Sus scrofa: one gene and its partner. The protein of the gene in region 2 interacts with the protein of the main gene of each other region in a biochemical or structural test. Links are inferred from orthologs where the notes say so. Each region holds a gene or a part of one and is shown on either strand. Other genes may lie near its edges. The genes, in order: FGFBP1 and FGF2.

Region 1 (7,887 bases), about 90 Mb from region 2:
ACATTTATAAAACTGCTGAACCAATATTGCTGTGTGTTTTGCTAAAGTCTGTATTTTGCACCTGTGGTGCAAGCATATCATTTTCCTAAGTATATCGAATTGTGCATTAATGTGTGGACACAGACTTAGCACAAGGCGGGCATGTTGTAAACACTCATTGGGAGTGAATGGTCTCTTTCTCTCCATAAACATCCATGAAAAGGGGGCATGGGGAAAGATCAGGGGACCAATGACAGACACCAGCAGGGAGGAGATGACATTTGAGCTGGATCCTGAAGGAGGAACCCATGTGTGCTGGGGCAAAGGAGGACTGGCAGTGCATTCCACATAAAGGGGACAGCAGGAGCAAAGGCAGGAAGGGGACAAGTCCACCAAGTATTCAGGAAGTGGTGGGTGGGTGACTTAGTGTGGCCAGATTGGAGTGTGTGTGTGTGTGTGTGTGTGTGTGTGTGTGTGTACCCGACTAGAAATGAGTTAGAAATAACAGGCTATGCTAACAGGGAAAGGGTTGCATAGTCTGATCTAAAATCGTCCCCTGTTTGGAAAAGAAAGTTCAGGCAGAAGTTAGGATAAGATCATAGGGAGCCTGAAGTTCCGTGGAAAGCCAATGGGGGAAGTTCCATGTTTTCCCTTCCAGACACTTCTCAGAAAAGATCCTGGAATCCCCATGTTTCCTTCTCAATTTGCTTTGTGTTCTGACCTGCAGTCTTTCTCCAGAAAAAGTCTGGCTGCCCCCTGAGGATCAAGATGATTTTCTCCCTTTGCTGGAGACCACCTTGGTCTATATCTGCTGACAAAGCAGTTTTTGTCTTTCCTGGGTCCAAATAATGCCCCTCCATCCTGATACCACCATGTAAGTGCCTCTTCATGCGGGTCATGGTTCAATAAGGTGGAGGTCAGAACAAAGGGGATGGATCTCAGGGTGAGCATGAGCCAATTTTACAGGAGGCTTGGAGTTTGGGAAAATAGCCTCTTCCTCGAAGGAGGTCATGAAGAATTCCTTTGAACAACTGAGTGAACAAGTCAACCTCGGTCCTCCATAGCTCTGTGACCTTGGAATTCTCAAACAGGTGGAACTTGAATGGAGTCCAACCACGGTTACAATTTTCTGTATCCTTCTTATGGGCCAGGACAATGTTTTAGAAAATTTTCACTTAGATGCCAACCAAATGCCATATACACACATTTGGAAGTTGGGGGGTCTCTTAAAAGTTCATGAAATGTCGTTTCTTTCTTTTCTTTTTTAAGGCTGCACCTGCAGCATATGGAATTTCCCAGGCTAGGGGCTGAATCGGAGCTGCAACTGAGGCCTGTGCCACAGCCATGGCAACACCAGATCTGAGCTGCATCTGCAACTTACGCTGCAGCTTGTGGCAACGCCAGATCCTTAACCCACTGATCGAGGACAGGGATCAAACCCGCATCCTCATGTGGTTCAGCAGGTGAAGAACCCACTATGTCGGGTTCTTCACCTGCTGAACCACAACTCCTGAAATGTCCATTTTTATTTTTTTTAAATGTACGTGTGAAGAAAATTCATTAGGTGTGAAAATATCGAACTCTATGCCAACATGTTTTTGGTCACCTGGCACCGAGTATTGACATCTAGGTATCAGGAACTACCCAGTTTGTCACATGTCCGCCACTCCTTATTGTCGGTTGCCATTTATCATCACTCTTGTGCTATTGTTTTCCTTACAGCTGAGTCAAGAAGAAAATGAAAAATTTCTTGTGCCTGAACGTCGGTGAGAAAAATACAGTCACCCAGTATGGTAAAGACCCCCTCTTTGTGGAAGTGAGTTTTTTAAATAGACTCAATATGAAAACAAACTGTATCTGTTTTTAAAGAATACAACCAAAGGCCATCTTATGAACCAATCTTATCTGCTTCCCCTGATGTTAACAGCTCAGCCTCCTAAATGCTTTAGTATGAAACCCTAAATGAGGTTCTGGTACAGTCAGCTGTCAGTAGATGAACAAATGGAAAGTCAGAGAAGTTATGATCACAGCGAAACAGGAGTCCCCATCACGGCTCAGTGGTTAATGAACCTGACTAGCATCCATGAGGACATGGGTTCGATCTCTAGCCTTGCTCAGTGGGTTAAGGATCCAGAGTTGCTGTAAGTTGTGATGTAGATGGAAGACGTAGCTTGGATCCTGGGTTGCTGTGGCTGTGGTGTAGGCCGGCATCTACAGCCCTGATTCAACCTCTAGCCTGGAAATTTCCATATGCCATGGGTGCAGCCCTAAAAAGAAAAAAAAAAAAAAATCACTCAACAAAAGCTGGGTTCAGCATTCCACTAGGTCATTCTACCAGACTGCCTAGAGAAGGCTGACCTGGGTGAGGCCCCCACCTGTGACTAGAAGGTAAATATTTTCCACAAAAACCCAGATCAGATATTTCCTCCTTTTGGGCCTCTCAGGGCCCAAAGATTCCTCTACACACACAGGACTTTCAGGTGCCTCCGTGAAAACAAGAATTCAGACCCTGAGGTGGTTTCCCCAGCGCAGTCCCTCAGTCACCGAATGTTTATTGAGAGTATCCGGTTAAGAAGAGATCAGACGATGAACCCAGGTCATCTAGGCTTTAAACCCAGGGCCCCTCATCCTCCCAGCCCTGTGATCCTGGACAAGCCCTGAAGACTCCAAGCCCCCATATCCATCTGTAGAGTGGGATGAATTAGAGGTTCGTGTCGGGAGGAGCTATAACCATGTTCTCAAAGGTTTAATTCTTGTCGCAGAAGGAATTCAGAAATGAGACGGAAATGGAGAAAGCAATGTGAGGATTTAAGTGAGAAATACCCCTTTTAAAGAGAAGCAGGCAGAGGGGCGAGCAGCTGCCCTGTGTTTTTCTGATACGCAGGTTATAAGGGGCATCCAGTTGCATGGGTGGGCTATTGACTGGGAAGGTGGGGTTTGGGGGTCTTATTCCTTAATTTTTCATCCCAGCCCCACTTTTCCAAGGGGAGGAGGGATTTTTGTCTTTATTTAGCTTTTATCGGAAGTGTCGTGCCATTGGGGTAAGATAGGTACTTCTTATCTACATAGCTAATTTTATTATGATTTTATTATAATGAGGGCATCATGAGCGACAGGCTACATTCCGATTCGAGCCCTTTTCCACATTTCTTTGTCTGCCTCCAGGGCACTTATTACCCTAAAATGTGTGGTTTCCAATCAGGCTGGAAGTTCCTGCTTTTCTTTGCCCATGGACCCTGCCATTTGCAAGACGTGTGATTTCCTGCCATCTGGCCCCGTGCCCCACTTCTCTGCTCATGCCTAACTATCTGCCTGCTGGAACCATGAGAATGAAGGGAGAGTTTGTGACATGGGCTATTGTTTCTAACTTCCCCCACGGATTTGGCTGCTGGGTCCTTATCCCGAGGCAGAGGGTCTCGGCAAGGCCAGGCTGTCCTCCCCAAGTGGCTGCAGGGGGGCATGGAAAGGGTTGGAAGAAGCTGGTCTAGACCATGGCTCGTCCTGCAGGATTACACCAACAACTTTCCCTGCAGGAACTGGCTCCTTCTGAAGGGGCGTGGCTGGGAGCCGTGTGCATAAAACTCACATGTGTGAGTTGTAAAATCTTCGGTGCTTATATAAAGGTCCGTCCCTGCCTCACCTCGTGGGTAAGGCAGCTGGAAGCCTACGGGTTCACTCTCACATCTGGGACCGCACGGGATCTGCCAGCTCAGAAAGAGGTAAGAGCCTGGCTCTCTTCCCTTTCATGACCTGCCCCCGAGGAATGAGGGGGTCTTTATCTGATAAACTAGCTCCTACCCCAACCTTCATTTTGGGAGCTTGCATTTTGTGACTGTCTTCCCTTTATTCATCCTTGAGGGAGGCCATATGCCCAGGGCGGAACCTCTTTTTAAACAAAAATCTCTGTTTTTTAAAATGGAGCACTGAGGAGTTCCCGTTGTGGCTCAACAAGTGAGGGACCCCACGTTTTTTTCTGGTGTTTGATTCCTGGCCTCACTCAGTGGGTTAAGGATCTGGCATTGGTGCAGGCTGTGCAGTAAGCTGCAGCTTCAACTCTGATTCAACCTCTGACCTGGGAACTTCCATATGCCGCAGGCGTGGCTGTAAAAAGAAAAAAAAAAAAATTAAAATGGAGCCCTGATAATAATGATGATCTTATCATCGGAAACTAAGCCAAGCCAAATCTTGAGTGGTTCATCATGGCTTCTTTCTTTCTTGTCAATAGTTTCTGAAAGGCAGAGCAAGGGGAAGGCAAGAGGCTTTCAGAGAGGGGCAGAGAAGTCCTGGCTGCCTGTCCCCACTTTGTTACTTGCTCGCTATTGAATATTGAACAATTTCATTTGCCAGTCTGAATCTTCGCAGTCATAGCTGTTACCTGGTGGTGAATTACCTCCCAGGCAGGGTTCTGGTGCAGATTTACAAAGGTGAGAAAAGAAAACATGGGCCCAGTGCTCAGCACACAGTAGGTAGCAAAGAGAAGTGCTAATTCTTTCCAGTGTGGCTTTTGTTGCCCACCTGATAAAATCTATGCAGTTTAGTGTAGCAGTTAAGGTCATCCAATTTACTCAATGATTTGTTTTTAAAAGCATTGATTGAGGGCTTTCTCTATGCCCAACCCAGTGAAGGCACTCCCAAATTCACCCCAATTCACTCTGGTTCACTTTGCGGAATCAAATTGCCTGACCTCCCCTCCTCATGCCTTTCCTGAGGCTCTTACTGGAGCCCAAATGCACCTCCTCACAAACCCACCCACCCATCTCAGACTGTCCAAACCTCAGACATGTTTGACCTTGGGTCAAACACCACCATTCATGTCACTTACGATGTCCTTTCTCATGGCGTGGTCATCTGAGTCCATGTAGAGCAGTGAGATGGAAATGCAGCCACTGGGGCTGGAAGAGAGTTGATATGAGCGTCTTTCAACATCTTGATTTCCAGATAAAGGAGCTGAGACCCAGAGGGGGAGAGTGACTTGCCCAAGATCAAACTGGGGACACAGTTGGGACAGACTCCTAGTTAATGCTATTTAGATTTCCCTAAAGAGTTGCCTCTAAGTTTTTCAGATGGGAGACTTTCTTATTCACCTTGAAAAATTCAACCTCGAGTCTAGCACCTGCCTACTAGTAGGGGTTCCATAAAGGCTTCTTGAATGATGACTGACAGGTGACCAAATGCAGGAGTAACTGAGACAGGAGAGGAGGGAGTGAGAGTTAATGGGGTTCAGAGGGTGATGAGGAACAAATGAGAAGTAGGAGGTTTCTGACACTCATGACTCAAGTCAAGCAAAAACGCAAATAGACTGCTTGGCTATTAATTCCAGGAACTAGATAGTTCCTTGATCTCATTGCTAAGCAGGCAGGCCCGTGTCAGTGTAGAGGGAGGGTCATCCTGCAGCCCAGCCCTGACTCACCTTGTCTTTTGTCAAACAGGTTCCCACCAAGCCGAAGCCATGAGGATCCATGGCCTCACCCTGCTCTTCTTCCTCCTTCTGGCTGCTCCCATGCTCTTGGTGGAGGCCAAAAAGGAAGGAAAGAATAGACGTGGCCACAAAGCCAGTGCAGATAAATCGCACGCTCTTGACAATCCCCAGGTTGAGCTGAAAAGCCAGCTGCCCAAGCACCTGCCCAAAGGCAATTTCATCACCCAAGACCAAGCCGACTGCAGATGGGAGGTGACCGAGCATCAGGAGGGCATTGCCCTGAAGGTCGAGTGCACCCGAGAGGACAGCAGGTTTTCCTGTGTCTTCACTGGCAATCCAACCTCTTGCCTGGAGTCGAACAAGAAGAATGTCTATTGGAAACAAATTGGCAGGAACCTGCGCTCTCAGAAAATGATCTGTGGCGACTCCAAGAGTGTCCTGAAGACCAGGGTGTGCAGAAAGAAGTTTCCAGAATCCAATCTCAAGCTGGTGAACTCCACTCTGATTAGGATCAAGAAACCCAGCCAGGAGTTAATGAAGCCCTCTCTCAGGGGGCAGAGCAAGGTCAAAGACACCACCCCCTCCAGTCCAGCACAGACCCAGACCATGGCCATCAAAGATCCCGAGTGTGTGGATGACCCAGACATGGTCCACCAGAGAAAGACGGCCTTGGACTATTGTGGAGAGTCCTGGAGCTCTTTCTGCAAATTCTTCATCGCCATGGTTCAGGGCAGTTCCTGCTAACGAGGTCAAGAGAGAACGGAGTCCATTCGAAGGTGTCAGGTCGCAGCCCTTCCACATGCTGTAAAGATCTCCCGGATCCCTGTTAAAAGGAACATTTGCGCTATGGGAGTGCAGTGGATTATTTAAACAGATTTTGTAATTTTTGTTTTTGTGGTTTTGGCATTTGTTTTCTATTCATTTCCTTAGCTGTGATTGTCAGAGGCTGTTGACCTCTGTCTTTATGTTTTCATGGCCCACAAAGCTACGTTTCTCTGAGCAGTAAGTACCCATCTTGGAGCTGAATGAGTCAGAGGGATGATTTCAGCGCAATGACTTCCTGCTCAAAGAACAAAGACAATAAAGCTCTATGCGTTTTTCAGAAATATGTTGTGTTCAACTGTTGTTTGGCTTCTCTGTGTCTAATTTCAGTGAATGACTAAACAGGAATATATATATATATATATATCAGTGGGAAAAATACCCTGTTTGCCCCCCATCCCAAGTCAGCCTATAGGTGACCTGTTCTGGAATCCCACTCCTCATCCTTTTGTGCTTTGGTCTGTGATGCTTCCTGAACTGATTTGATGCTTCCTGAATTGATGTCAGGTGGGATACTGGAAGCAAAATGGGATAAAGACAATGGTTAGGGGCTCACAGATGGTAAGAGGGGAGGCAGGATTTGAACCCAGTCCACAGGCTGAAGGAATACCTTCCACTGATTCAAACCAGGGATGCCCGTTGCCACATGTGGGACTCAGACCTTGAGGAGCTCATTTCCGGACTCGGGGAGAGGGGCTTGGGTAAGTACAGGGCTTGTGATGAAGACTCCATCACAAGCGGGAAAGGCAGGGGGGAAAACTAGAGAGAAGAGGCAGAAACTTCTGGAAGATGTCAGGTTGAGTTTCACACAAGAGCTGCTATTGGAGCTGAATTTTTGGAGTAGGAAATAGGGCAGAATTGAAATTGGGCACCTTAGGCAGAGGACAGATCCTAAAAGATGGGAGAGATCACATGGGTGGAAGGTGGTGGGATGTTGTTAGTCATTTACATGTTAGTCTGAAAAAGCCAAAAGGGTTTGAATCGAAGGTTTGGGGAGAGAGGAAGGTGTAGCCCCAATGTCATGTCCCAATTCCACAAAGGACAAAAAGTGAGAGCAGATGTGGGTTAAAATATTGCTCTTTGGAGTCTTTCTCGAGTGGGTGGCAGGAAGCGATGGCAGATGAGGGGGAAAGGGGTCTCCTACAGTCACCAGCCTACCAGGACCTACACTGAGGTTGTCAGTGGCCAACCCAGAGTGTGACAGCCTCAGAGTGTGTTTGGATATCATCATCCATCCTCGACACTAATATTTCTCTCTCACTCACTATGCACCAGGCACTGCACTAAGCTCTTTCCATGCAATTTGCATGTTTTCATTCATTTACTCACTCACTGAGCACATAATTTATTGAGCGATGAGTCTGCTGAAGAGACAGCCATGCACCAGAGATGAACGTTCGACTTCCATGGAACGGCCAGGGGGGAAAGCAACTAAAACCCATCAATACACAAATGACAGAGAGGAATTCAAGGAGGAGAAAGGGGCGAAAACGACAGACAGTCACTGGCCTTAGATAATATGGTCAAGGAAGGCCTCTTGGTGACTAAATGCAGTGAGGTCTAACCAGTGAGTCACCCCAGGTAACTCTATGGGGTAAGAGTGTTCTAAACAGAGGAACCAGTTAGTGCAAATGCTCTGAAATTAGTTAATGAGCTCTGAGCTCCCA
Region 2 (7,851 bases):
TCACAAAACAGGGGCAGGAAAATGGGCCTTTTCTTTTTCTTTCCTTTCTTTCCTTCCTTTTTCTTTCCTTTCTTTCCTTCCTTCCTCCCCTCCCCCACCCCCTCTTTTCTTTCTTTTTAGGGCTTTACCCACAGCATATGGAAGTTCCCAGGCTAGGGGTCAAATCAGAGCTGCAGCTGCTGGCCTAACCCACAGCCACAGCAACACCAGATCCAAGCAGCATCTGTAACCTACACCACAGCTCACGGCAACTCCAGATCCTTAACCCACTGATCAAAGCCAGGGACAGAATCCATGTCTTCATGGATACTGGTTGAGTTTGTTACTGCTGAGCCCAAACAGGAACTCTGAAAACAGTTCTTTTCAAGTGAAAACTCAAGCAAGAACCCACATGAGAAGCACAGGTGATCTTTGGCAATACTGAGTAGTTGGGATTCAGTCACCTTACCTTACATTCCCTTTCCTTTCTCCCGCTTTCCTCCTGCCCTACATCTTTTCACAACCTGAGCCAAGTCCCCCACACCTAACCAGTGCCCCACATTTATGCCGCCATCTTCAAAGCTTCCCTCCCTCAACTTCAGTCCTTCTGGTCAGATTTCAGGGAAGAAATTGCACACAACTTAACTCACACCAAGTGGTAAAATCCAATAATGGTTGAACTCTTCAGAGGTACAGTCTTCCCCTGGTATCCATGGGGGTTTGGTTCCAGGATCCCCAGCAGATACCAACAGTAGTGGAGGCTCGAGTCCCTCATGGAAAAATGGCATAGCTGTGGGCCCTCCATCTCCATACACAGATGGGGAACCCTCGGATATGGGGCACAGACTGTGTTTGCATGTTAGTAACAGCTGGACAGAAGGTGTTAACACCAAAGGAATAACTCTCAAATGGTAGATTTTTCAGGTCCATTGAGCAAAACAGCTTGAGGAATGGGGCCTTAGGTTTGTCAGCATTTCAAACCAGTCCAGACACCTAGCCTTAATTCAGTGGGAAGTTGTAGCAACCATTAACTCTGCTTTATTTCTCCAAGTTTGCAGACCAGTTTTGTTTGTTGTGAAGAATGGAGAGGATGTGGTTGAAAGTATATTGTTATGTCATGTCCATATTCATTTTTTTCTTATCTCTTTCCCCTAAGTTTCCTCTTGGTTTGGTCAACCATCAGGACACATTCCATATGCCGGGAAAAAAATATTGCACTTAAAACTTATGTCCAGGTTGGGATACATAAAAGTAGTCCAAATTCATCATTTTTAGATTTACATTCCTGTCAGTCTATTGCCTGGTAAAAGGTGATTTAAAAAAATCAATCATCTCCATAAACTCTTCACTTTTAACATCTTCTCTTTAGCTGGTTATCAAGTTGGCAGAGTTTCTCAATCTTAGCACCATTAACACCTGGGTCAGAAAATTTTTTGCTGAGGGATGCAGGAGGTACTGTGTGTCCTGTAGGATGTTTAACAACATCCCCGCCTCTACTTATATGCCAGCAGCACCCTTCCACGTATGATAACCAAAAATGTCTCCAGGCATTGCCAAATGGGGGGAGTAGGAATGGGGATAGGTATCAACCCCATTTGATTACCACTGGGTTAAAATCAGATTACAAAAATGACAACTCAATCCAGAATTGAGAGTTAACGTTAATGGTTGTCTTTACAAGGATGGTAATGTGGTGTGCAGTTCAGAATTATCCTCACTTGCTAGTCCCTATACACTTTTATTCTAAAGGAAATAGGGTATTGAAGCTTCAAAGTGGAAAAAAATGTAACTAATAAGATAACTGGAAAAAAAATAAAAAAGAGTACTAGGGGAAGCCCCAACATGAATCTGATCTGGAGAAGAGTTCTGTCTTCTACTCACAACAACATGGTCTTTCTTAAACTCCTAGAAAAGACAAAATGAACTGGTATATATGCATGCACCCTGCCCTAATCAGCTGGGCTAGTCTGGCAGCCAACTGCAGAACAAACTCCAAAGATAATTTGTGAAACCTACTTAGCTACAAAAAAAAAGAGTAAGAGCATTAACCCATATGTTGGGCTACAAGCATCTTTTCAGTTTTTACTGGATAAGGTAAGCAGCTGGTAAAATTTTTAAATTATGGCAGACCTGAAAAAAAATTACAGACCTGCATCTTTCGCTGTTTCGGAATCAATTAGGACCCAACTTTTACAAAAGGACATTTCCCATTCTAGAATTTGTCAACTCAGGTTTGGCTGCAGAACTTTCTCCTCTTCCTAACCCCTCCCTCGAGGGTGAAGGACATACCATTAGCATCAAAAGGTAAACTCCTGTGGGTCTAATGCAAAAAGAGGATGAAATTTCCACCTGAAACCCATAGAGAAAGGCCAGGCAGAACAGCTTTTAAAACAGATGTTTCAGCTACACTTACAGGATGACAGTTAAAATACATCTGATCCTCTTTCTTTCACTTAAAATTCATCAATGTTTTTTAACCAGCTCATTTTATGCCCTTTTCTTCCCTTTTCTCTAGACCAGTGGGTCTCAAAGTGTGCTCCGCCTCAACATCACCAGGGATCGCAAATTATCAGACCCCACTCCAGACCGAAGGAATCAAACTGTGGGAGATGGTTCCTCCATGCCTGATAACAAACTATCCATGTGATTCTAAGGCACTCCTAAAATTTGAGAACTAATAACTCAGGCCAGACTTATTTCTATAACCACAAACACTTTCTTTTTTTTTTTTTTTTACAGTAAACCAAAGTGTAGACTAGTAAACTGAATCCTCTGAGCACTTTATATAACTTTATATAAATTCTTATTTGATCCTCAAACCCGATGCAAGGTAAATAATATCCCCACTTTCGGGAAGAGGAAACGGGTTCACAAGTTAAGTATCTCTCGAGGTCCCAAACCTAATAACTGCAAATGGAAAATTAAAGTTTTTGCAGTTCTTTTTAGAACTGAAACGAAAATCTATAGCACAAAGCCCATTCGTTTTTTTCTTTCAGCTTTCGAAAATTCGGAGGAAAAAACAGAAGTGGGTGGACGAGAGCAGTGTGCCAGCCACCTCGGATCCTACCGAATTGGAATTTAAAGACACGGCTCTTATGGTATTTTCCCTTTTAATACGGCTGCTGTCGGCTTTGCGGGGGCGGGGGGTGGGGGGTGGACTGCGTGCATCCCAGAGAGAAGGGGTCGAAACTCAAGCCTGGGGGGCGCGGGCGGCACCTGGCGGGCGGCTCACCTCCGCTCCGCCGCGGGGTATCCCGGATACGACAGGTTGTCAGCGCTCAGCAAGCCGCCGGCAAGGCCGGGGCGCCCTGCGGCTCCGGGCCCAGAGGACTGGTTTACCAGGGGAAAGCGGCACACTCCAAAGCCTAGGGGAGCGTCTACCCGCCACCGCAGCTCGGGGGAGGAGGGGGCGAGCGGTGAACCTGAAACCGCCGAGGGCAGCGCGGAGAGAAACCACAAGTCCCACTGGGGTCGGAGTGGAAAGAAGGAGAGCGGGGACTGGAAGGCAGGCGAGAGAACCGCGCGAGATGGAGACCGCGCTGGGGAGGACCAGCGGGCCAGTACTCACTGTGAGGGTCGCTCTTCTCCCGGACCCCATCCACTCGGCCGTCGGGGTGGATGCGCAGGAAGAAGCCTCCGTTTTTGCAGTACAACCGCTTAGGATCCTTGAAGTGGCCGGGCGGGAAGGCGCCGCTGCCGCCGTCCTCCGGCAGGGCGGGCAGCGTGGTGATGCTCCCGGCTGCCATGGCCCCACCAGGGCTCTGCCGGGGTCCCCGAGCCCCTGGAGCCGCGCGGGGAGCCGCCGCCGCCGCCGCCGCCGACCCCCGGCCCCGGCCTCCGACGCGCTCCGGAGCGCGGCCCCGGCCCCGGCCCCCCAGCCTCCCGCCCCGCGGCACGCGGCCGCGCCCGCGGGCCCCCAGCCTCGTGCTGTTTGGCCGCTTCGCTCTCCGCCGGCCCTGGAGCTGCGGGTTAGGGCTGGGTTTCTCGGCGGCCGCCACTCTCGGCAGGGCCGCCTCCCCAAACTGCAGCGCCCGGGATCGGCTTGCAACTGCGGGCTCTGAGTCCGCTGGTCTGGCACCGGCCGAGCCGCGCGGCGTCACATCTTCTACATCTCCACCCCCAAACGCCCACCAACCCCCACGCCCCCGGCCCTCCTCCCTTCCAGCGCGCCGCCCCCTACTCGCTCCGGTTTTCTGGGGCCGGCCTCTGGGTCGGCCGCTCCGGCTGCCTCACGCAAGCGCGCGACATCCAAAGGGAGTTGGAAGGCAGTCGCGGGCGGGGGAGATGCGGGGGCGCGGCAGGAGGCCAAAGCCAAGGCCTCCGCAGCTCCAGAGCCCTCGACCCCGCCGGTTCCCCAGAAGGCGCCCCAGCCCAACCCCGCGCCACCCAAACGACATTTAGTCTTTCTCCACAGTGAGGAGCTTTTGCTGTGCAACCAGTCGTGACTCAACTTTTCAAAGTTTAAATGCAATTTTCTCCCCCATTCTTTTTCCCTGCCAGCTCTTCAAAGCTGAGAAACTATTTCCACCCCGGAAAAAAATAGAGGAATCGGAAGCGAGGGAGGATTGTGTGTCACAGTAGGTTTTGAACCTCTCTAATCACCGAAAGATGAGGGGTACCCGCAAGGCACAAATTGTTAAAATTGAAGGCAGAGGCTGAAGTAGTTTACTAACAGAAGGAAAGAAAGAGGCCAGAGAAGGGGAGAGGATTGGGTTGCTAAAAGGAAAGAGTTTTCCTTTTACTAACTTAACTTGAATTAGACAACGTGTAAAGATGAAGATGGGTCTCAAATCCTTATCACGTTAGAAGCATGTTAATGTCTTTTTCTAGCTAAACTGTTAGGCATTTCTTGGAAGGAGGGTAGTTTTCTGAAAATCCCAAACTACAAAATTAAAGTTAATTGCACTTCGCTAACTTTCAGTAGAATATAACAGGTACTACAGATAAGGAAAATACTGGTCCATAAAATTCATATACTGAGCGCCTACTGTGTGCAAAGCATTTCAGTAAATGCAGTGAGAAAAGCCTCATTGCATGGGATCTTCTGGCACAGTGAAGGCGACAATAGGGAGCATGAACAACACAAACAAAATCAGCTTGAGGGTAGTCAGGGCTAGGGAAAGCTTCTAGGAAGAGGTGAGAATACAGAAGTTCCTCTGTTTAAGAACATGTTTGCTTTTGAAAGATTATCCATGAGTGCATTTGTTCATGTCTCCAAGAGAGGTTTAACTCCAGGTGCATTTCTAAGCTGTTAAATAAGAGTGTGCATCAATTCTTTGGAGCTTTAAAACCAGGCTTAATCTGGGCCAATTCGGCTTCTCTGACATCTCTCTCCAAAATGGACAGGTTTACTCTGCACCGAAAATTTGTTATAACAAAGAGCTCCCTTTCAGATGATCTCTGTAGGTATCCCAGGGAATGCCTGAAGCTACTGCAGCACTCTTCAGGTTGCCCCTTACTTTGAAATCAAGTTAGATTTGAGTAAGTCTTGAACTCTGTCACAGAAACCTGTGTTCCAAGACCAAAGGGATAAAAGCTAAGTCAAAATATTTTTAAACAGTAGTATCCAGAAATTTGGGGAACAGCTACAAGCAGTTAAGTAATTTGTATGCTAATAGACCACCGGTCTTGTAGAATTGCATCCCATGTACAGTAACTGATTGTTTTCTAATTCCTTCAAAGTCAGGATATCACAAGAAATGGTTAAGCCAGTTCTAGGAATCTAGGTCTCCAAGGCAAATAGTGTTAATTCCAAGAAGACATCATTAAGAAAGTTGTCTCAAGTTCCTACCCACAGCCTTCTCAACACACACTTGTATGGACACAGAGAGACAGACAATATTCTTCCATACAATCATTTTGGTCTCAGCTGCACCAGGAGCAATCGACTTACTTGCATTCTCAATTCACCCAACTATAAGGATGAAAATAAAAAAATAATTTTGAAAAATAACTAGAATCAACGGTAGAATTCTATAAGATGATGAATTGAAAACATTAATTTTAAAAACCTTTAGGTTCCACTGAAAATGCTTTGGAAACTATAAAAGAAGGAGGACTTACTCCTCAATGCTTTAGATACCTTAGATATCTTTAGATAATGCTTTAGAAACTATAACAGAAGGAGAACTTCCTCACAATACCAAGATAAATTACCTTGGAATTAATAAGAATTGTTCGGAATATAAATGATGAAAAGTACAAAGACTTAATGAGAGCTTAAAAAAAAAAATCTCAAATGTTCCTGGATGGAAACATACAGTAAAATAACAGTGGCAAATTCCTCTAACCATATTTAAAATTTTTAAACAATAATCAAAATTTTAGCACAGTTTTTAAAACTATTTAACAATATGTAAAATTCATTTGGATAAATATATAAGAATAGCAAATACTTTTTTTAATGTAGGGGAAAATGTGAAAGACTCTTAAATCGAAAAGAAAAAATTGATTACTAAATATCTTCAATGGAATAGGAGTTATCTTAGTAGAACTAAATTAGCTGATTCTATGGGGTCCCAGTATCTTTGAGCAACTTTACAACTCATGTAAGTTGTAGGTAACTGTCATGGAATGAAGTGTGTGACCCTCAGATTCATTTGTTGAGGCTCTAACCTCCAATGTGACTGTATTTGGAGACAGGACCTTTACAGGAGGCAATTAAATTTAAATGAGATCGTAAGGGTGGAGTCTTACAATGGAATAATTACGCCAGAAGTGAAATGAAGGTATCCACATTGTAGATGTAGAAGTAAATCTATCTGTATTTGCAGATGACACACAATCTTTTTTTTTTTTTTTTTTTTTTTTTTTGTCTTTTTCTAGGGCAGCACCCAAGGCATATGAAGGTTCCCAGGCTAGGGGTCTAATCGGAGCTATAGCCACCAGCCTACGCCAGAGCCATAGCAACTCGGGATGCGAGCTGCGTCTGCGACCTATGCCTCAGCTCGTGGCAACACTGGATCCTTAACCCACTGAGCGAGGCTAGGGATCCAACTTGCAACCTCATGCTTCCTAGCTGGATTCATTAACCACTGAGCCACGATGGGGACTCTGACACAATCTTAAATATAGAAAATCCTAAAGAACATATGTACACATGCATACAACTATAAGAGCTAATAAATGATTTCAGCAAGATTGCAGGATACAAGATCAGTATATTAAAATCAGTTGCATTTCTTTACACTAGCAAAGTACAATCCAAAAATGAAATTAAAAAAACAATTCTGGGAGTCCTCTTATATGCAGAGGTTAAGGATTTGGCATTGTCACTATAGCTTGGGGAGCTGCTGTGGCATGGGCTCAGTTCCTAGCCAGCGCAGCCAATTTAAAAAAGAAAAATTCAAAGAGAGAAAGAAAGCAAACAATTCCACTTACAATAGCATCAAAATAAATAAAATACTTAGGAATAAATTTAACCAAAGAAGTTCAAGACTTGTATACTGAAAACTACAAACATTATTTGGAAGAATTAAAGGAGATATAAATAAATGGAGAAATATCTATATTCATGGATTTGAAGACAATATTGTTATGATGGTAATTAATACTAAAGTTGATCTACAGATTCAATGCATTCTCTGTCAAAATTCCAACTTCCTTTTTTTGAAGAAAATGACAAGCTAATTCTAAAATTCATATGGACAGGCAAAGAACCCCAATCTTGAATAAGAAGAAGAGAACTCGAAGACTTAATTTCAAAACTTTCTACAAAGCTATAGTGTATAGGACAGTGTGGTACAGAATTAAGGATAAGCATATAAATCAATGGAACAGAATTGAGAGTTAAAAAATAAACCGACATTTAGGATCAATTGATTTTCAACAAGGGTGCTAAGACTATTCAATGAAGAAAGAATAGTCTTTCCA

Evidence for each region.
Region 1: the proteins of FGF2 (region 2) and FGFBP1 form a complex in vitro, tested with the Homo sapiens proteins (2 studies listed by BioGRID and IntAct, with this or other methods). The link is inferred for Sus scrofa from reciprocal best matches to the Homo sapiens genes FGF2 and FGFBP1.

Annotation. Positions count from the first base shown.
Region 1 is NC_010450.4:11,184,979-11,192,865, reverse strand, and holds FGFBP1 (fibroblast growth factor-binding protein 1), read left to right. Parts: upstream 1-3,548; 5' UTR 3,549-3,698; intron 3,699-5,408; 5' UTR 5,409-5,428; coding exon 5,429-6,142; 3' UTR 6,143-6,506; downstream 6,507-7,887.
Region 2 is NC_010450.4:101,339,709-101,347,559, forward strand, and holds the start of FGF2 (fibroblast growth factor 2), read right to left. Parts: upstream 4,377-7,851; coding exon 4,213-4,376; intron 4,156-4,212; coding exon 3,548-4,155; intron 1-3,547. UniProt on the Homo sapiens protein: Acts as a ligand for FGFR1, FGFR2, FGFR3 and FGFR4. Also acts as an integrin ligand which is required for FGF2 signaling. Binds to integrin ITGAV:ITGB3.